2 linked regions of the Elephas maximus indicus genome follow. The protein of the gene in region 2 interacts with the protein of the main gene of each other region in a pairwise test. Links are inferred from orthologs where the notes say so. Each region holds a gene or a part of one and is shown on either strand. Other genes may lie near its edges.

The links. The genes of interacting proteins can lie anywhere in the genome.
Region 1: the proteins of SUV39H1 (region 2) and CBX5 interact in binary tests that used the Homo sapiens proteins (3 or more experiments, as listed by UniProt). The link is inferred for Elephas maximus indicus from reciprocal best matches to the Homo sapiens genes SUV39H1 and CBX5.

What each region holds. Positions count from the first base shown.
Region 1 is NC_064822.1:109,772,354-109,783,726, forward strand, and holds the start of CBX5 (chromobox protein homolog 5), read right to left. Parts: upstream 5,206-11,373; 5' UTR 5,070-5,205; intron 1-5,069. Other genes in the region: HNRNPA1 (heterogeneous nuclear ribonucleoprotein A1), read left to right, coding at 5,872-5,886, 6,460-6,576, 6,860-7,006, 7,128-7,338, 7,424-7,516, 7,598-7,690, 8,025-8,099, 8,326-8,478 and 2 more. UniProt on the Homo sapiens protein: Component of heterochromatin that recognizes and binds histone H3 tails methylated at 'Lys-9' (H3K9me), leading to epigenetic repression. In contrast, it is excluded from chromatin when 'Tyr-41' of histone H3 is phosphorylated (H3Y41ph).
Region 2 is NC_064846.1:122,904,084-122,914,511, forward strand, and holds the start of SUV39H1 (histone-lysine N-methyltransferase SUV39H1), read left to right. Parts: upstream 1-6,112; 5' UTR 6,113-6,170; coding exon 6,171-6,195; intron 6,196-8,110; coding exon 8,111-8,256; intron 8,257-9,480; coding exon 9,481-10,143; intron 10,144-10,428. Other genes in the region: actin nucleation-promoting factor WAS, read left to right, coding at 64-178, 981-1,036. UniProt on the Homo sapiens protein: Histone methyltransferase that specifically trimethylates 'Lys-9' of histone H3 using monomethylated H3 'Lys-9' as substrate. Also weakly methylates histone H1 (in vitro).

The DNA of each region.
Region 1 (11,373 bases), on a different chromosome or scaffold from region 2:
AACAGGAGTTAGGAAATGAGAATGTAATGGGCTGGATGGTAGCCCCCCAAAAAGATATGTCCATATCCTAACTTCCCAAACTTGTGAATACTGTATGACAAAAGATGTGATTAAGTTAAGGATCTTGAGAGGAGTTTATCCTGGATTTGCAGGTGGGCCCTAAATCACACGTATCTTATAAGGCAGGGACAGAGAGAGTTTTGAGATATTCAGTGGAGGAGACGTTAAGACAGAACACAGTGAGATGTGGCCACAAGCCAAGAAATGCTGATAGCAACCGGGAGCAGGAAGAGACAAGGAACGGATTTCCCCATAGAGCCTCCAGAGGAGTTCAGTCCTGCCACAGCCTTTATTTCAGACTTTCCTGGCTTTCAGAACTATGAGAGAATAAATTCCTCTTGTTTTAAACCACCAAATCTGGGATAATTTGTCATAAAAGCTACAGGAAACTAATACACAGGGAAATTGAAAAAATCACAAAACTGGACATACATAACGTTAATTACTGATTTGAAAAGAACTGTGCTTCAAGCGATGCAAAGAATGCCCAAAATGTTCACTCCCTCATTCCAAAGGGTAAACTGAGGCAATTACAGGCGCAGTTTGGAAAAAAAAAAAATTGGCAGACCTAAGAGAAACTCAAATAGGTCTAATATTTACATAGCTGTGAACAAGAACAGTGTAGGTTTTTCCCTAAACACGCTCACTGGTAGAGCTCCTGGACAGACTAAACATAGGCAGCAGTTGTCACTGTGGGTGTTCTGCCAACACAAGTGTAAAGTTGTCATCAGAAATGAATCCGTGGCTTCAAATGGCTTACAGAAATCCAACAAATCTGTATCTTGGACTCTGTGCAAGCCAGCTCTTCTCAGGATGACCTGGACTCCTTCCCATTGGTACAGTTATCAATAAAAGCCATCCTTTATAAGCAGGGAAGGGAAATCAAAGTTTATGTCAGGGAAAAAAGATGATTGCCCAGAGTCCAAGTTCATGGATAACAATGCGTAAATAGTAGCCATACAGAATCAGTTACAGGTGATATCTCCCACTGTCACGTATAACTTTTAAAATCAATACCCACAGCACAGCTTAAAAACAGACCAAATAAAAGGATCAACAAAACCTAAAATGCTTTAACAGTGGGGCGTTATTAAACAGGTCATTCCAACAAAACATGGAAATCATGCTACATGGTTAAATTTAACTCCTCAACAAAAACATTAGTCTTTGTCAGAAGCCTCTGTATCCTGGATACCTTTTTCTCTTTTCTAGAGCTACTTTTAAGGGCCCTGAGTCTCCAGAATTTTCCTAAACATTTAACTCCAGTCACTTCAAATGTATGTTCCTTCTATTTCCCAGCTATCATCCTGCTGTTCTCCTACTAAGAAAATTCCAGGTTACTTTTCAGACAGACCAGTGAAGACATGTGATTTTCCCTTTTAGTAAACAATTCTTTAGGTTTTGCTGCAACAGTACGACTCTAAATTCTAAGCACAAGTGCTTTAAATCTAACTTTTCTAATACAGGCTCAACTCTTTAAATTAGCCATTTAAATTTCCCCACCAAAGACAAATGTCCATCAGATGTATTAACTATCATACTGGAAGTGAATTCACAATAAAACAGGCAATTTTTACTCATGTACCATGGAAAAAGGTTCTGTAATCTTTCAAAGCAAAATACACCAATAAATACATCAATTGAGGGGATCGAGATGAAACTGTGTATAAATCTGAGTACCTGGGGCTAGAGAGAGCGTAATCCCCTCGGAGAATATATAAGGTGGCACAATTTTGTATTCTTAAGTTCAGTGTTTTCGTTTTTCCTAGAACTGTGAGTCTGTACAGTGGTAGGCTGTGAAATCAGTTCGGTGGAAACTGACCTGCGTTTAGAAAATGAAATACTAGATTGCAGATGAGAAAATATCAGAGTGCTTTGCGCATGTAGTTGTTTACTGAAACTTTCTTCAATCTGTGTACAGGGTCAGTGCAAAATGTATTTCTTACTGAGGGTCTAAGTCAAAAAAGTTTGAGACATTGATCCAAAAGAATCCCAGGAAAGGAAAGAGAGCTAAATCAGATGAAAATGCAAGAAGCCTCTGAAGCAAAATCTACCTTCTTCAAAAACATATTTGTAATTATTTTGGGAAGCCAATACAAGATGCAGTCAATATGTTTGTATTGAAAGCAATAGTGAAAACTTAAGCCACTCCCTAAACACTTCATCTGCTCCCTTCTTTAATTTTGAGTGGGTAAAATAAAATATTTTGAAGAGATAATCAACTCCAGCATCTCTCATTTTAGAACAACAGTTTTCAACACTGGTGGAGATTTTGCCCCCTCCCCATCACATCTGGCAAGGTCTGGAGAAATTTTGGTGGTCAGAACTGGGGGTGGGGAGGAGCATAGGTGACTTGCTACTGGCATCTAGTGGATAGAAGCCAAAGATGCTGCTGAACATTCTACAATACACAGGTCGGAAAAAAAACACACAACAACAAACCTGTTGGCATTGAGTCATTATGACCCAATAGGACAGACTAGAATTGCCCACACGGTTTCCAAGGCTGTAACCTTTGAAGAAACAGACTGCCATGAAGCGGCTGGTGGGTTTGAACCGCCAACCTCTTGGTTGGCAGCTGAGCTCGTAACCACTGCGTTACCAGGGCACGCGCAGGACAGCCCCCCCACAATAAAGAATCATCCAGATCAAAATGTCAATAGTGCTAAGGTTGAGAAACCCTGTTTTAGGTCAAGATTGTACTCTTTCTAAACCTAAATAAATTGGGGACAAACACCCTAAACTCAGCTCACTTCAGTTCTTACAAGCTAAGCAACTGCATCGTACCATATCTACAGATAGAATTATAACTTTGTTGTTTTGCAAGTGCCAGAGAATGTGAAATCTCTGTTCATTATGAGTTCAAGGAAAATAATTTTTCATTTTGGGGGAGCAGTAAGTAGGAAAAGTATCTAAAGTGTACCTCATATGCAGTCAAGTTTATCACCATACACTACCTAGTATTTTTCTCTCGACTTAAATAAATCAGTGAATAATAAAGCAGTAAAGAGTCTGATACAGCCAATATGTAATGAAAATTTATATATTTTTCCAAAACATCCTGGAATAAACATTGCTTCATAGATGGGTCCTGTTTAAAAAAAAAAAAAAAAACTAGAAGAAAATATAATGAATAGGCAATGAGGTATCCAGGTGATGTATGGGTCTTCCTGTCCCCAACACCTAAATATAACCCTCCTTAAGCAGCTTCCTTCTTCTCCATATTCAGACATCGTCAAAGGAATAACAAAGAGAGACTAAAAATCTTTAAAAGTGTGGGAAGAAAAAAAAGGATATAGGGACAAAAATTCCTCAGAGACTAAGATATAGGCATTAACCAAACCCCTTGCTGTCAAGTCGATTCTGACTCATAACAATCCTGTGATCCTATTAAAAAAAAAAAAAAAAAACTAGTGTGATCCTATAGAACAGAGTAAAACCACCCCATAGAGTTTCCAAGGAGTGCCTAGTGGATTTGAACTGCTGACTTTTTGGTTAGCAGCTGTAGCTTCTAACCACTACGCCAGCAGGGTTTCCAAAATATAGGCATCGGAGACATAGAAAAAGCTTGTAAAGTGCTTAGCACATACTAAGTCCTCAAAAAAAGTTACCTATTATTTTCACACCAAGAATCACTTCAGATAAAGGTCTGCCTTGAGCATTATGCCCTGTTAAGAATCACCTATATGGGATCAAAGTGACAACAGCAACTTAAAAGATTAGATAAAAACCTTAGGATGCAGTGAATTTATGTTGAGAGAGGAACAACTCAAAGAAGGGGCGTGAGAACAAGTTGCACAACTAGAGGAATGTAACCGATGTCACTAAATTGTACATGCAGAAACTGTGGAATCGGGGTATGTTTTGCTATACATATTCACAACAATAAAATATATTAAAAAAAACTAAAATCAGAGCGCTTACCTCTAAAAACAAAAAGACTCACCTTAGTTCTTAAAGGAAAAACAAGACTCTTTAGAGGTGTAAGAAGGAAAGAAGTGGTGAGAAGTACCTGAATTACAATTGGAAACACAAAAAGAGCTACCTTTATTTTTCATTTAATCTTAATCACAATTATCCCTCCAAAGATTTAAATATTACAATTAAGATCTAAGTGCCCACTGACCAACCCAACCCACCTCCATCCCACTATATCCCTGGAAGTAACACTTTGCTGTGTACCTTTCCACAACTTTTTCTGTGTATTTACAGACAAATCTATTTGTCCATAGAAACGTGCATAATTTAGATTTTCCTCTGATGCCTGTCCAGGACAGCGTACAGAAGTTTCCCGTTCGTTTTAACAGTCATCTAAAGAAGCTAGTTGCCCAAATCAAAATTTCTCTCCTGCTTCCCACAAAACCTAGTGTGATGGATGGTGGGATGTACCGATGTGGGAAAAAATGCCAAATTCAAGGCTTTCCTACCAGGGAGGTGTATGGGATGGAGGCTCAAGGCGCCGTTACAGAAGTCATTGTGGATAAAATATCCACTCCCACACACCGTCACAGGCTTTGAATTCCCCTCCTTACAACCCCAAATGTAAGACTCCTTCTCTTGGAGCGCTGATTGGACGATTTGCCTACTGGCTTCAGATTTGGTCCATCCATTTACCGCCCGACTCCCGCATTCCCAACTGGGGTCCGATCCCCGCTTCTCGGATGGAGCCCAACCTATCGCGCGCTTCGTGCTCATTGGTTCAGTAAGCCGCTACTCAGGAGGGGAAAACCCGCCCCCCACATTCCGAAGGCCCAAGGACCTATCAGTCGGTGGCTGAAGGCAGACCCAATTGGCCTATAACCTCGCCAGTCACACGCTTGGGTTGTACAGCTCCGACGAAGCCACATAGATTAAAACATCCCGCCCCCTACTCTTCTATTGGTTGGGCCAAATCGCCGCTCCCCCTCCGCTATCCCCCACCTCGCGGTCCATTCATTTCACACAATAACGGGCCCAGCTGAAATCCATTTAAGACCTCGTACGGGTAGGCAAGATTGTCTGGCACTTACCAGCGATCGAGAGTGATCACTCAGGCTAACGTCTTTCCTGTTCCTCTGTGGCGAGGCCGGACCACAAGCCACCGCTGCCGCCGCCTTCTGCGCAACGCCAGCCGCCCGCCAAAACGGATCTTTCCCTGCGCCTGCGCGACCAATCCTGAGACCGGACCCTTTCTCCGCCCATTACGCCTGCGCATCTCCCGCCAGTACGCAGGCGCCGTAGGTTCACCGCCTCTCCCACCGCCATTTCACATGTTCCAAGTGGCAGCTGGAACTTCTTAGTGCGCCTGCGTAAACTCACCGTATTTTTTTTTTTTTTTAACATGCGCTGTGTAGGTAGTCTTCACCCCTCCCACCCGAAAGATTTTGTAACAGTCTAAATTCTTATCTAACGCACAAAAGTAAGCGTGCTTTGAAAAGGAATTGAATGTAATATTTGAAGAGTGGAGCGTCCAAAAGTTTAAATACGCTTAAGTACCTTCAAATATGAATGATAGGTCCGCTAGCCAATCAGACTAGTTAAGACATCACGACTCAGTAACCAATGAACTACAAGGGGTGGACACTGCGTAGACCGCCCAAACGGATGACGTTTCATAGCAGTGCGGCACCATAGACCAATAGTAGGAGGAAGCTATTTCAAATGTCCAATCAGAACTAAGAAGGGGCGGTGTCTACCAATGCCGACAGCGAGGAGGCGGGATAAAAAAGAGAGGCCGTAGGTAGGCTGGCAGATACGTGCGGTAGGTTACTCCTTTCTGCTTGTGGACGCCGCCGAGGGAACATCGTTAAGTAACCTCTTCTTACTACCGTCATGTCTAAGTCAGAGGTAAGCTACCCTTATCAACTTCATTTTGTTCCTCTTCCCTTCGTGAGTTCCGTAGATTTCGGCTTCGTTTCATCGCTCGAATTAGCCCATGCGGCAGTTCCTTCGGCCGCTGCCAGGGCTTACCCCTCCCAAAGTTGGAGTCGCCATTTTGTCCTCGTCGTCGCCATGAGGCCGCCATCCGGCAACCATTCGTTATCAGGCCAGGCTCTGGTTAAGTCCGGCAGAACTCTACGTCACGATTGATCTGTTTTTTCCCTTGATTGCATGGGCAAGTTTGTTTGTTTGTTTGTTTTTTTAAAGTTTCTAGTATTAGGTTGGCGACATACTCCTCCCGCCAAGTCCTATTGTTGCGCGTGCGTTTTAAAGCGCGTAGGGGCGCATGCGCTTGAGCTTGAGCTCTCGCGGATATTGCAGACTCAACACAGCGCCACCCCTGATAGGGAGAAGCACGTGGCTTGGAGCAGCCAGAAGGAACAATAAATGCTATGTACGTTGTTGCCTAGTTTTATGTGTCTGAACGGGAAACTGAGTATCGTTTTATAGCCTAACTTAACACCTGTTTTCCACCATTAGTCTCCTAAGGAGCCCGAACAGCTGCGGAAACTCTTCATCGGAGGTTTGAGCTTTGAAACAACGGATGAGAGTTTGAGGAGCCATTTTGAGCAATGGGGGACGCTCACGGACTGTGTGGTAAGACAAAAGGGTAGTAGTAAGACCGCCTTGGCTTGTTATTTCCGTAGTTCGTGTTTGAATGTAAAGATTGTTGATAGGATTGTAGTTTGGAAGGTATGATTTTGTTAATGGTTTGATTCTTCAGGTGTTCTTATAGGGTCTCGACTCCCCACAAGCAGTACTGAGAACTTAGAGGGCTTTGTAGTTACCCTACTATAAAGTTTTCCGTTTTCTTGCTTAACGTAGGAGTGATGATAGCTTCTGGGATCTTAGCATGTGCTAAGTGAATTAAATTTTTCAGGTAATGAGAGATCCAAACACCAAGCGCTCCAGAGGCTTTGGGTTTGTTACTTATTCTACTGTGGAGGAGGTGGATGCAGCCATGAATGCAAGGCCACACAAAGTAGACGGAAGAGTTGTGGAACCAAAGAGGGCTGTCTCACGAGAAGTAAGTTTTCTCTTTTAGCTATTTGGAAATGTGCCACTAAGTGGGTTTTAGTTTTTAATTTCATGTTCTCAATTTGGGGGTAGCTTTTGCTAAATAATTAAGTGGTGTTTTTCCTATTAAGGACTCTCAAAGACCAGGTGCCCACTTAACTGTGAAAAAGATCTTTGTTGGTGGCATTAAAGAAGACACTGAAGAACATCATCTAAGAGATTATTTTGAGCAGTATGGGAAAATTGAAGTGATTGAAATCATGACGGACCGAGGCAGTGGCAAGAAGAGGGGCTTTGCTTTTGTTACTTTCGATGACCATGACTCCGTAGATAAGATTGTCAGTAAGTATTAGATGACTGGAGCTTACTAAGGATTCTAAAATTCACCTGGTATTTGGAACCTTAAGGTTTTGTTTTCATTTTTTAGTTCAGAAATACCATACTGTGAATGGACACAACTGTGAAGTAAGGAAAGCCCTGTCAAAGCAAGAGATGGCCAGTGCTTCATCCAGCCAAAGAGGTGTGTTTGTTGCTCAGTTAAACCTTAAGGGTAATAGTGAGTAATCCAGTTTGTATGGTCTGACATGATTAATTTCTTAAGGTCGAAGTGGTTCTGGAAACTTTGGTGGCGGCCGTGGAGGTGGTTTTGGTGGGAATGACAACTTTGGTCGTGGAGGAAACTTCAGTGGGCGTGGTATGTGTGATTGTAGTTTCCAGTAAACTTGTAGTTTAGTTACCCCAGGTTAACACCCATTTTGCAATCTATGATAATATGTAACTAAAGAGCTACTGCTATCAAGTTCAGTACTATTCTTCTAACGCCTATGGGTCAGTAGAGATGCCCCGTGGGGTTTCCGAGACTAAATGTTTCACAAAAGCAGGCTGGTGGATTCCAACTGCTGCTGCAAAGTGCTTAACCACTAGACCCGTTTTATTTTTAAAAGTTCTTCTGGGTAATGAGTGAAATCACTGATTGGCGATTTGTTTTACAAAACAAAGGCTGCCGTTTAAAATTTAACTTTTTTCAGGTGGCTTTGGTGGCAGCCGTGGTGGTGGTGGATATGGAGGCAGTGGGGACGGTTATAACGGATTTGGTAATGACGGTGAGTATGGTTTTTTGGTTCATTTGTGGGTTTTTTATATGTATAAGGAACATGCAGGCAGTCTTCCGTTATCCTTAGAGTAGATTAGTAGAGACTAAAATTAGTGCATGGGAAGCTCAATTCTCACCATAATATGCATGCTGTGAGCAGGCTTTAGCCATTGCGCTTGCACAGATACTGATCATTGAATACTTTTGTCTTATTGAGAAGAATTGTATTCTTGTAGGTGGTTATGGAGGAGGAGGCGGTCCTGGTTACTCTGGAGGAAGCAGAGGCTATGGAAGTGGTGGACAGGGTTATGGAAACCAGGGCAGTGGCTATGGCGGGAGTGGCAGCTATAACAACGGAGGAGGCGGAGGCGGCTTTGGCGGTGGTAGTGGTAGGTATCCAGTGATCCAAGTCTTTGGTGTGATAGCTTAGACTAGCCTTAGTTTGCCCATTATTTTGGGGCTTGATGCTCTTAGAAGCATTATGTGTTACAGTGCATGGTATTCAAAAGTAAATGGACTTGCTGTGCTACCTCCTAGCTTCAAGCTGGGGCCGCCTCACTCCCAAAAAGATGAGTAAGTGGATAGTGGTGTCTTCATTTGGGGTTAGATTAGCCTCCGTTGCAGGATTTAGCATCTTAACTATTCTGTTGGGATCTTAGGCACTTAGTTGATATATCCAAGAAACTTGTCTGCAGTGGTCCTAGGTGAAAAGAAAAAAAAAAGAAAGCCTTCAAGGCTAGAAACAAAGTTCTTAAAATTTGTGCTTTAAAACTTTTGACACTCAATCTTACGGCGATTTGGGTTGATAATCAAGCTGCTGGATTGTTCGACATAATGCTTTGCCTAGACAAGATGGAAATGGAAGAATTACCAATTACTGGAGCCACCTTTTGGGTGGAGCCACCCTTTGGGAGGAAGGCAAGCAAATGTCAAAACAGCCTTTTTCACTTGTAAACACTAACAGAACTGGGAACTGTGATCTTCCTCCAAGTAACAGACAAAGGCCCTCTTTCCCTTCCTAGGAAGCAATTTTGGAGGTGGCGGAAGCTACAATGATTTTGGCAGTTACAACAATCAGTCTTCAAATTTTGGACCCATGAAGGGTGGAAACTTTGGAGGCAGAAGCTCTGGCCCTTATGGTGGTGGAGGTCAATACTTTGCCAAACCACGAAACCAAGGTATTGTGTATGTGTAATATTGGCTAATTGTAGCTATAGTTAGTACACTGGTAAAGGGAGCACTTCCCTTGCAAAGTTAGGCAAGGGCCATTTTTAAATGTTCTCTTGAACTTGTGATTTACCGTATGTATCATTGTCTCAAATGAGAGAAAATTAGAGCTTAAATTTCATTTTTAGGTGGCTATGGCGGTTCAAGCAGCAGCAGTAGCTATGGCAGTGGCAGGAGGTTTTAATGACTGCCAGGTAAGTAAGCACCTTTTCGTGTTTTGACTTAATTTTTTTTATAATTGCAAATGAACCCAGTAACCCTAATGTAGCTGAGCATTGCAACATAGTTAATATAATTGCAGTAAAATTGTGGATGGATATTAAGTTAATATTCAGAATAGCAAAATTTGTGGGAAACAACTTGCTATTGGATTGTAGTCTTGAGTCTTAATATGTTTAGATTAACAACTTTATTCCATATTGTTCAACAGGAAACAAAGCTTAGCAGGAGAGGAGAGCCAGAGAAGTGACAGGGAAGCTACAGGTTACAACAGATTTGTGAACTCAGCCAAGCACAGTGGTGGCAGGGCCTAGCTGCTACAAAGAAGACATGTTTTAGACAATACTCATGTGTATGGGCAAAAAACTCGAGGACTGTATTTGTGACTAATTGTATAACAGGTTATTTTAGTTTCTGTTCTGTGGAAAGTGTAAAGCATTCCAACAAAGGGTTTTAATGTAGATTTTTTTTTTTTCACCCATGCTGTTGATTGCTAAATGTAATAGTCTGATCATGACGCTGAATAAATGTGTCTTTTTTTAAGTGTGCTGTGTAAAGTTAGTCTACTCTGAAGCCATCTTGATAAACTGGCCCGACAGTGTGAAGTTTAGAATTCCTTCAGGGTGATGCCAGGTTCCATTCAATATTTATTTACAACCTTAGAAGACTGCTTGGGGGCAGAGCGAAGCCATTGTCTTCAGAAACCTTGGTGTAGTTGAACTGACGGTTATTGAGTTGTGACCTGGAGTTCACCATTACAGTGGTCACCCAAGCAAAATTATGGGATTTATTTGGTTATAAAAATGATTGTTGGCACATCCTATGCAATATATCTAAATTGAATAACGGTACCAGACAAAACTAGATGGGATTGAAACTTATGTATCCATTATCGTGTGTAATCAATAAACGATTTAATATCTTGAATGATATGACAACTGTATGGATTTGGGACTGGCAGAGATTTGGACGTACCCTACCCACTATCCCTGAGCAATGTTGAATGCCCTTCCAAATTCTCGTTCAAAACTCTGCCAGAGAATAGAGACCAGCTGGCTAATGGCTACCCCTTAAGTCCACAGATTAGAAGCATTGGGAGAGACCTTTTTAGAATAAGACCAGTACCAAATTTTATTCTCAACATTAAGAAATAGGTTTACATTAAAGGAAAACTGCAGTTTTTTTTTTACTGGGTTGTGGTTGGGTGAATCTTTGTATAGATTAAGCACAGTTCGCTGGAAGTTTAAAAAATTAGTAACGGTAAAGAACATAGTTGTTAGCCATATAAATTTGTCTTAACTGCAGTTTTCCTTTAAATATGGCACAGGAGCACACAACCATCTTGAAGTGTTAATTGTATAGAAAATGATTCTTAAATCTTCGATTGGTTACTTAATATCCGATAATTGTTATTTGTACGTAGGTTCTTCTGAACCTTCATTTTGGTGCCCTCTCAATTTCAGTGCCATTGTACCTAGTAGTAATAGAGCTTGTCAATCAATAGGACTGTGTATTTCATCCCATGGGTGTGTTGCTTAAAGTTTGGGGAGGAGGGTGGAGGGGGGGTGGGAGGTGGTGGATGGGGGGGAAGCATGGATGATAGTTCCGTGGGTTTGGTATTGGCTGAGTTTGCAATAGCAGGTGAAACCTTAACTGTTGAGGGAGTTTGCAGATACCTCAGGACTCCTGACAATGCCTTTAAAGATCCAGGAGAGATGTTCAGCTACTAGGAACTGCTAGCAAGTAATAGCGCGAATGGCTCCGAGCTCAGACACTCTACAGCTGAGAGTAGACACTTGTGGTATGTGAAGTACAGATAAGCCAGGGGCAGGCACGGC
Region 2 (10,428 bases):
GCAGGGAGGAATGCCCCTTTGGCAGGCCCTGAGCCTTCTGTGCTGTGCCCCTGCTTGCTGCAGACTCCAGGGGCCCCAGAGAGCTCAGCACTGCAGCCACCACCACAGAGCTCAGAGGGGCTGGTGGGGGCCCTGATGCACGTGATGCAGAAGAGAAGCAGAGCTATCCATTCCTCAGGTGAGAGCCCAGCCCTCCCCAGCCTGTGGCTCTCCTCCACAGGCCTGTCCTGGGCCCATCCTGCCAGGACCAAGCACCTGCTTTTCAGGGCTAGGAATGGCATAAAAGCAACCCCAACAGTCACCATCAGTATTAACATTAGCCCCAGGTGTTGATGACAGTATTAGCAGAAATCTTGTTACTTGACAATGTTAACACAAACTTATGTGACAATATAATTAACTCTGTCTTTGACAATAATATTAACATTAATGCCAAGGTGTGTCCACAATATTAACTTTAACCCCATAATATGTCAACAAGATTAAGGTTAACTCATTATGTGATGTTGATAATAATGTAACTAACCCAACCTTTTTACAAAGTGTTAATATTAACTCCCTAAAAAAAAATGAGTCAACAATACTAACATTAACCCACTATGAGACAATAATATTATAACTTACCTCACCTTTAACAATAATTTTCAAATTCACCCATTAAGTAGCATACTGATTAACATTAACCCTTTGGGTGACAGTATCAAAACTAACCACATTTTTGACAATAATATTAATTTTAACTCCAACTGGAACCCAGACCCCAACTGTAACCCCTATCTTGTCCCAAACTGAAACTCCTACTCTCACACCTCTGAAGAGGCCCCTCCTCATCTAGCCGCATAGGTCCCACATCTGATTTCCTAACAGGAGACCTCATTCCCCAGCACCATGAGTCCTGGCCTTTCAAGCCCTAGGAACTACCCTTCCAGAGGCTCCATCCTGAGTTCCCACTCCATGTCCTTCTCTTTCTCTCCCTCCAGATGAAGGGGAGGACCAGGCCGGTGATGAGGATGAGGATGATGAATGGGACGATTGAGCTGCTGTCCCCAGTGTACCTCCCCATAGTCCACCTGTGGCTCCCTGCTTCCCACTGGCAGCACCCTACTGTCTGCATCCAGGCGCTAAGCGCTGTTTCTTCCCAATCAACCCCCTACCCAGTGCTGTTATCCCTGACAGGCCCCCACACTCACCCTAGCAATAGCCAGGCCCCTTTTTGTATGAAATTTCTCAATCCTCCTCACTCATTTTTGAAACAAAGATAAAGTAATTGTCTTTTTGTCTCTCTAAATCTGAGTTTGCTTATATTCCAAATGTGGTCCCTGTTATTTATCTAGCTTTACATATATGCCTTCATTTATTCACTTAGTCATTTAGCCTGGTTTTTTGTTTCCTTCTGTCCTTCTTTCTTTCCACAAACATTTATTGCCACTGACTCCTCCCCTTTCCTCCGCGACATCCTCCTCCAAAAAAGGAGTAACTCAAACCTGTCCCTGTGTTTGAAGCTCTTCCCAGGGGAGTAATTAGAAACTCTTGCACATTAAAGCCTAAAATCAAAGAATTTAACCCTTTGCATTTCTGAAATCTGGTAGATTTAACATCTCAGGTATCCTACCTTTAGAGAAGGAGGAGGAGAGGGGCAGGAAGATAAAGGTGAGGGAGAATCCAGGTTTCCAAGAGCAGCAGAAGAATTTCTGAACCATTGAGGTGGAGGTAGAGGGAGAGGGAGGAAACCAGCTAGACATTGGGGGCATTGGGGATAAGATATCAGGAGTGGGAGCTGGCTTTGCCCCTTAAAAATTCTCCCAGAACCATGTAAGGGGAAATTCCCCTTGAGGAGGAGGAGGGGGCGTGTCTCAGGTTTCTTTTAATTTTTGAAATATTTCATTATTCCACTCCCACCCTAACCAGCCAGGCTCCCAGCATGAGCACTGAGTCTAGAAAGGACCTGTCAGGTATCAATTACCCCCTCCCCACCCCTGCAGAAAGCCTAGAAATCCAGTGCTCCAAGACATCTCCCTTCTGCTGGGTGCTAGGGCCGTTTCTCCACCTTTGGATAGGAAGGCATCACCCAACCTCTGAATCCCCTTGAGCATGGGCTAGAGAAGGCAGAGACTCGAGGTGAAAGAATTGACCGTGGGTGAGTTACTTGACCTCTTTGGGCCCCAGTTTCCTCAGTCTTTAAAATAGAAATAAAAATGCTTACCTCATAGGGCTGTATTGAGAATTAAAGTAGATGGTGTCTGCAAACTGTCTGGATCATTGTAGGCATTTATAAACATTAGCTGCCACTATTGTTGCTGTGGTTGTTATTGTTATTACTGAATTTCACTGACTCTGACTCACCATTGATTTATAAAATTATAAAATACACCATTATTTTATGGATCACTAAGAAAAGCAAAAAAAAAAAAAAAAAAAAAAAACCTACCAATTAAATTATGACCCAACAGTGCTTGTAAGACACAGGCTGATTTCAGAGATGTTAAAAAATTAAACAGTTCTGGAGGCCTGGCTGGTTATGTTGTTTCTTGACCTGCCTTCTGGTTCTACATGCGTATTCACTTGTAAAAACTCTTCATGACATTCTCCCATGGTCTATGTACTCTTCTGTATGTGTGTTACACTTCACCATGAGGTTTACATTAAAAACAGGTTCAACCTGTGCAGCTTAAAATGGATAAAACCTTATGCCCTCAGCACTAAGAGAGGCAATATACACAAGAGGCACTGGATTAATGCTGAACAAACAGACAAATGGCTTTAGGCAGGACACAGGAGTACTAGGATGACCTCTTACTTTTGAGGTCTCCTGAAAAGGTGCTAGTCCCAAAGGGTTAACTAGTCCATAGGGTTAACTTGTATAAGGTCACACAATTTAGTAAGTGGTGGAGCCAGGATTTGAACCCAGGCAGTCTGGCTCCAGAATCCATGCCTTTACCCGATACATTATATTGTTTGGAGAGGCCCAAAGGAAGCTCTTCATCACTAGCAGACCCCTATAGCTCCCCTCCAGATTCAGGTGGAAAAAGGTCATGCCTTAAACCACTCTTGTGGGTTGGGCAGGTCTCCAAGGCCTCTGGAAGTGGGATGGCCCAGGCCACCCAAGGAGACTGGGGCACGTGAGGACCAGCATGTGACTCTGTTCTAGAAAGAATAAAGGAGGGAAGGGGCATGCCTGGTGGGATTACGCTTTTGACTGTTACACTTATGGTAAGGAGGGGCTGATAGAACGTCAGACTGACCAGCCATTCCTCCAATCAGCTCACAGCTGGACTAGCAGGAAGACAGAATAACTGGCTAACTGTATAACCATTTGGTTAACTGTGCAACTCATGGACCAACAGGGAGAGGGGCAATTTGAGGAACTGACAATGTGGTTTCCTGATGCTGTGAAGTACTGAACATCTGACTGACTTACAGCCCGCCTGGGCCTGGCTGGGGCTGGTGGCCTGACAGTGTGGAGGACAAGGAGCCTCCTGAAAGAGTTACAGGCTGACCAACTGACTGATGGTGTTGCTGCCGGACTGGGAGGCAGGATGTTACAGGGCTGAGGGAATGTCTAAATGTTATAGTCTGATGATGCGTAAAGAAGGGCTACGCTGAATTTCAGGTTGACTGATCAACAAATCTGTGGTTGCCTGATGTTGTTGTTATTGTTAGTTGCCATTGAGTTGGCTCCAAGTCATGACAACCTTAAGTATAACAGAATGAAACATTGCCTGGTCCTGTGCCATCTTCATGATCATTGGTGTGTTTGAGCCTATTGTTGTGGCTATGTGTCAGTCCATTTCATTAAAGGTTTCCTTCATTTTCACTGACCCTCTATTTTCAACCATGATGTCCTTTTCTAGTGACTGCTTTTTGGGATGACATGTCCAAAGTAAGTGAGTCGGAGTCTCATCCTGGTTGTATTTCTTCTAAGACTGATTTGTTTGTTCTTCTGGCAGTATACAGTGTATTTGATATTCCTTGCCAACATCACAGTTCGAATGCATCAATTCTTCTTCTGTCTACCTTTTAATTGTCCAGCCTTTCCATGCATATGAGATTGAAAAGACCATGGCCTGGGTCAAGCACACCTTAGTTGTCAAAGTGATATCTTTGCTTCTTAAAACTTTATGGAGGTCTTTTGGCTGATGGGAGCCCTGGTGGTGCAGTGGTTAAGAGCTCGGCTGCTAACCAAAAGTTCAGCAGTTTGAATCCACCAGCTAGCTGTTCCTTGGAAACCCTGTGGGGCAGTTCTACTCTGTCCTATTGGCTCCCTATGAGTCAGAATCAACTTGATGGCAATGGGTTTGGTTTGGCTGATAGGCTACTATATATGGTGACTGACTGTTATGGATTGAATTGTGTCCCCCAAAATGTCAATTTAGCTAGGTCATGATTCACATACTGTGTAATTATCCACCATTTCATCATCTGATGTGATTTTCCTATGTGTTGTAAATCCTACCTCTATGATGTTAATGAGGCAGGATTAGAGACAGTTATGTTAATGAGGCAGGATTCATTCTACAAGATTAGGTTCTTTTGAGTCAATCTCTTTTGAGATATAAAAGACAGAAGCGAGTAGAGAGACAGGGGGACCTCATGCCACCAAGAAACAAGAGCCAGGAGAATAGTGTGTCCTTTGGACCCAGGGTTCTTGTGCTGAGAAGCTCCTAGGCCAGGGAAAGATTGATGACAAGGACCTTCCTCCAGAGCCAACAAAGAGAGAAAGCCTTTCCCTGGAGCTGGCATCCTGAATTTGGACTTCTAGCCTACTAGACTGTGAGAGAACAAATATGTCTTTGTTAAACCCATCCACTTGTGGTATCTCTGTTGTCGCAGCACTAGAGAACTAAGACACTGTTCATCTTGAGTGAACCACAGCATGCTTGAGGGCCTGGATGGTTGCTCTGACTGAATGACTCTCTGACAGACAGTGTGGTCAGTTGGATTCTGAGGATGACGAACCGGCTGACTGACAATATGATGAAGGACCAACTGAAGGAATCACAGGCTGCCTGACCATCTGAAAACTTAGCATAACTGCCTCACTTGGTGGCTGTACATGGTTATGGACTGTTTGCCCTGATGGAATCACAGGCTCCCTGATAGAGCCCAATGGGTCACAGGAGATTGACTGACCGGCCAATGGTGTGGATAAGTAGCCTGAGAAATTACAGACTGGCTGACCTATTGACGGGTAGTGTGGAGGCTCTATTGTACCATTAGTCGCTGTGACTATTTGCTCTGAAGGCCTAGCTCGGTGTTAAGACTGATTAACTGGCTGATCATGGTGTGAATGAGTAGCAACCTGAGGGAATTACAGGGTGACAGGGCTATGTTAGATGCTGAAAATGACAGCTTGTCCTGACCTAATCACAGCCTGCCTAAGGGCATGGCCCGATGCTGTGGCTTACTGAGGGGTGTATGAGATGATTCCTCCAGGTCCCAGGGCAAGGGTACGTGGTATGACAGGCTAATTGACTGACAATGTAAAGGAGCGGTCAGGCTGGCTAACAAGGGGAGTTGGTAGTAAGTGCAGTCTGAGTTGAGGGCATTGCAGCTGGCCTGAGGACACAAATGGATGCCGCTACTCCCTGACAGACTGATAGGGTGTAAGGGGGGTGGGGTGTCTGACTAGACAGCTGTGGTGACCTGAACTGGGCGACTGGCTGATTGACAGTGCTAACTGGGGGTCTGACAGGACGGAGAATCCGCCTCTACGACTGTTAACAACGTGATTGGCTAACAGCGTGACAGACAGACCCGCGTACAGGCAGGGCCTCCGGCAGCCCCAGCTACCGGTGCTGCCGCTGCCACCGCCCAGGCGCACTCTGGGAAACCGAAGGCAAGCACCCGCCTTCGGGACCGGTGGGGTGGCGGGGAGGGGTCCGGTCACGCTCGCCGGTTGGTCCGCGCGGGCGCCGCTCGCTGCGCGGCGTGGCCAATAGGCTGTGCGTTCTCGGCCACGCCCGCGCGAGCTCTCTTCTCGCGAGGCCGAGTAGGCCCGAATGTCGTTAGCCGTGGGGAAAGATGGCGGAAAATTTAAAAGGTGAAGCGGTGGCGGCAGCGGCGCAGGCTCGCTGGCAGGGCCGGGGTGGGCTGGAGGGATGGCGCAGCGGGCTCAGGGGCCCGGCATCCGAGGCCACGGAGCCGGCAGCTGGAAGCCTGGCGTGGAAAGGATGGGGCTCGGGGAGCGCGGGCCTGGTGCGCGGGGCTGGGCGGGGCTGTGGGAAGGGGCGCGTGTCTCCGAACGTGGCCGGCGCGGGGTGAAGGGCGGGCGCGGGATGGGGCGGGCGTGGGAGCGCGTGCTCCAGGTCGCGACTGGACCGGCGCGCGTACGCGCAGGGGGTCGTCCGGGAGGCCGCACCCGCGCGCGGGAAAATGGGCCGCCGGTGACCGTTACCCGCCTGGTGCCCACGCGAGATGCCGGAAAGGGAGGAGAGGGAGCCCGACCCTTGGGTATAGATGCTAAGTGATCCACTCAGTGGGGGGACAGGGTACTGTTCAGGGGTAAGCAGGGAAGGAGTTTGGAGTAGAGTGGACTCCCCCAGGATGGGGGGAAGTGGATTCCCCAGTGTGCAGGGAAAGGGTGATTTTCTCAGTATGGAGGGTGGTGGAGTGGGCTCCTCTCTGAGGAAAGCTGCGGGGAGGATGAGAGACCACAAGTGTGGCGGTGGGGGGTGGGGGGACCTCTGAGGGCTAGGAGAGTGTAGCCAGGTCAGTGCCAAGTGCATGCTGGAGCCAGCAGCTGGCGATGTTAGTTGGGACCACTTGAGATGGGGGGTTTTGAATACGAGTTAAGGGGTTTGGAAGGGAGAGGGCATCACAGGGAGGGGAAAGCCTGGGCCTAGGCCCAGAGCCTGGAAGGGAGATACAGAGTTGAAGAGTCTAGGCCTGCCTAAGTGGAGGAGGGAAGTGTACATGAAATAATTTTGAAAAGCTCTTGTATATTTTTAGGTTGACATACTTTATCGTGAGTTTAAATAAACTTGATTTTTGTAATGGGAGGTAGAAAATGTTAAACACTTAAAAACTATAAAATAGGTGTTGTGAAATGATTTGATAAAATGACTTCTAAAACAATGTGGAATCAAATATAAATCTTTATTTTTTTAATCAGTGTGTCCTAAAAATTTTTGGTAGCCCCAGAAAACATTCCAGGCATATTTAAAAGAATCATCACAAACATATACTGCTTTGCCTATTCCTGAATTCAGAACATACCCATTTGGGCCAGCTTTACCCTTCACAGAAATGTGGATGAAGCAGGGAAAGTCAAACCACAATGTGAAAAAAATGCAGTGGGGTTTAAGGTACCAAGACTACTCATTCAAGGAAGTTGCCTGTAATCTACCATTCCACATTTATTAAAAATTCTGAAATCTAAAAAATCCTGAAAACTGAAATCTTTTTCTTAAATTGGGCACCATTCAGTGGCAAAACTAGATTATAAGGTAGAACTATTCAGTGCCACTATTTTACATTTTTATTTCTCCTATTTAATGTGAAAATTCTTACTTTTGCTGTAGATATATTAATGCATTTGATTATGGCATGATACCCTAAGTACTGGGGGTGTTATGGTAGATACATGGAAATACATTTGTAAAAAAAGATTTTTTTTTAAACATATCTGCCCCCCCCCCCCCCCCCCGCCTTTTCAGATAAGACATTGTGGACCAGTCTTTCCAGTTTTGCCTTTGTTTTGTGCCCTGGAGGTTTTAATTCTCGCCCCCACCACCTTCCCCTTAGAGCATCCTACTGAGATGGGGGGGTTGTTCCCTTTCTTTTGTAAAGTGAGGAGAAGGGTGCTCAGATTCCGAACTCTAGGCAGGTTTGCTGGAAGTTTTAACAAATAGTAAGGGAGTTAGAAGCTCTGGGAATTGATTCCTTTAGGACAGACTTTGAGGACCTCTGCTCCAGGGGTAGCCTTGAGCAGTGAGCCTTGGGGTTCAAGGAAATGGCACATTTTGGTTATAGAAGGGTCCCAGCTTTCGGAAAGGCCTGTGGATTAAATCTGACTGAGGCAGTCCTTGGAAAGTCCCAGGGAGGATTTGGGGTCCTTTTGGGTGCCTGGCCAGGCTACCCAGTAATAGTTCTTCCTGCCCCCTTGTTCCAGGCTGCAGCGTGTGTTGCAAGTCTTCTTGGAATCAGCTACAGGACCTGTGCCGCCTGGCCAAGCTCTCCTGCCCTTCCCTCGGTATCTCCAAGAGGAATCTTTATGACTTTGAAGTCGAGTACCTGTGTGACTACAAGAAGATTCGTGTGAGTCTGGGGGTGACCGTGATCCTGGGCCGGGGAGGAGTGTCTCAAGGGAGTAGGCTTCTTGCCCTCCTGCCTCCCACTGCCTGCATTTGTTTTCCAAACGGAATTTTCTCCTTCGATCCTAAAAGATGTCTCATGTCCATTTTACAGGTGGGGAAACTAAGTGGCTTTCTGAGGGGGCAGAAGCCAGAATGAATCCCCAAATAAGTCTTTCTTCCCACCTCCCTAGGAAGACAAACCAATTGCAAAGATTGAGAATACTTCTTAGATGCTGAGCCCAGGAGTGGAGATGATGATAGGTAACAGTTACTGAGTACTTTCAGTGTGCCAGCCACTTCCTAAGAAACTCATTTAACTCCCCTAACTGTGAAGTGGGAACTGTTACTGTTGCTAGAGGAGGTTAGTGAAGGATAGTTAAGACTAGAGCCAGCCTGCTTGGGTTCCAATCCTGGCTGTGTAACCTTGGGCTACTTTCCCAAACTCTCTGTACTTCACTTACCTGATCTGTAAAATGGGGGTGATAATAGAGTGTTGTGAGGAATAAATTAGTTAATAACGCATGGGACCTGTTACCTAATGAATGCTAGTAAGATGTTAGCTATATTCTTATTTACAGATGAGGAAACTGTGGCCCAGCAAAGTTAAATGACTTGCCTAAGGTCACACAGCTAGGGCATGGCAGATCTAGGATTTGTACTCAGGGTATCTAACTCTCAAATCTGTGCTATAGGGGGTGAGAGTGGAAGCCGGGGGACACAGCCCAGGCAAGCAATGATGGTGGTGGCAGTGAGGATGGTTTGAAGTGGTTGGATTCTGGAGGTATTTTGAAGGTTGGGCTGGCAGGATTTGCTGCAGGTGGTTGTGGGGAGTGTGAGAAAGAGAGTCAAGGATGACCAGGAATTTGAGCTCAGCAGGTAGAAGCATGGAGCTGATGTTTACTGAGATGGCAAAGATGGTGTGGAGGGAGTAGGTTTAGGAGATTAGATTAATGGGATTTGGACAGGTAGTAGTTAAGTAGGAGAGTGGAATTTGAACCTAGTAAATCCTCACTCCAAAGCCCATGCTTTCTAATCACTGTATGGATTAGAAAAGGGCGGAGGGGAGTGATGTGGGCAGAGGGGAGTGATGTGGGCATTATCCATATGCTTTGGAGTGGAAGTCCCACAAGGGCTGGCACAAGGGTCTCACCACTTATAGTGCTCTTGTCCCTTTGCCCCCCAACAGGAACAGGAGTATTACCTGGTAAAGTGGCGTGGATACCCAGACTCAGAGAGCACCTGGGAGCCACGACAGAATCTCAAGTGTGTACGCATTCTCAAGCAGTTCCACAAGGACTTAGAAAGGGAGCTGCTCCGGCGACACCACCGGTCAAAGCCACCTCGGCACTTGGACCCAAGCTTGGCCAACTACCTGGTGCAGAAGGCCAAGCAGAGGCGGGCACTGCGGCGGTGGGAGCAGGAGCTCAATGCCAAGCGCAGCCACCTGGGACGCATCACAGTGGAGAATGAGGTGGACCTGGACGGGCCTCCTCGGGCCTTTGTGTACATCAATGAGTACCGTGTTGGTGAGGGCATCACGCTCAACCAGGTGGCTGTGGGCTGCGAGTGCCAGGACTGTTTGTGGGCTCCTGCTGGAGGCTGCTGTCCAGGGGCATCACTGCACAAGTTTGCCTACAACGACCAGGGCCAGGTGCGGCTGCGAGCCGGGCTGCCCATCTACGAGTGCAACTCACGCTGCCGCTGCGGCTATGACTGCCCCAATCGCGTGGTACAGAAGGGCATTCGCTACGACCTCTGCATCTTCCGCACAGCTGATGGCCGTGGCTGGGGCGTCCGCACACTGGAGAAGATCCGCAAGAACAGCTTTGTCATGGAGTACGTGGGAGAGGTATGGAGATGGGGCGGTACGTGTGTATGCGGCTTCTCCCCCTGTGTGTTTCCAGTGTGTGTGCCCACACAGTGTGTGCCTTTAATTAGTCCTGGGGCTTTTAATCAAAGTGTAATAGCGACGCCCTGGCAGGGCTAACGTTCCAAGCTGGTACACACCAGTATAGCCATTGAAATACATCCAAGCTGGGTTGATTTCATAGAGGTACCTAGCAAAGAGGAAAAATGGGGACTGAAATTCAGGCAGCATTCCTTTTAATAGGCCATGTGGTCAGGTATAGAGTTG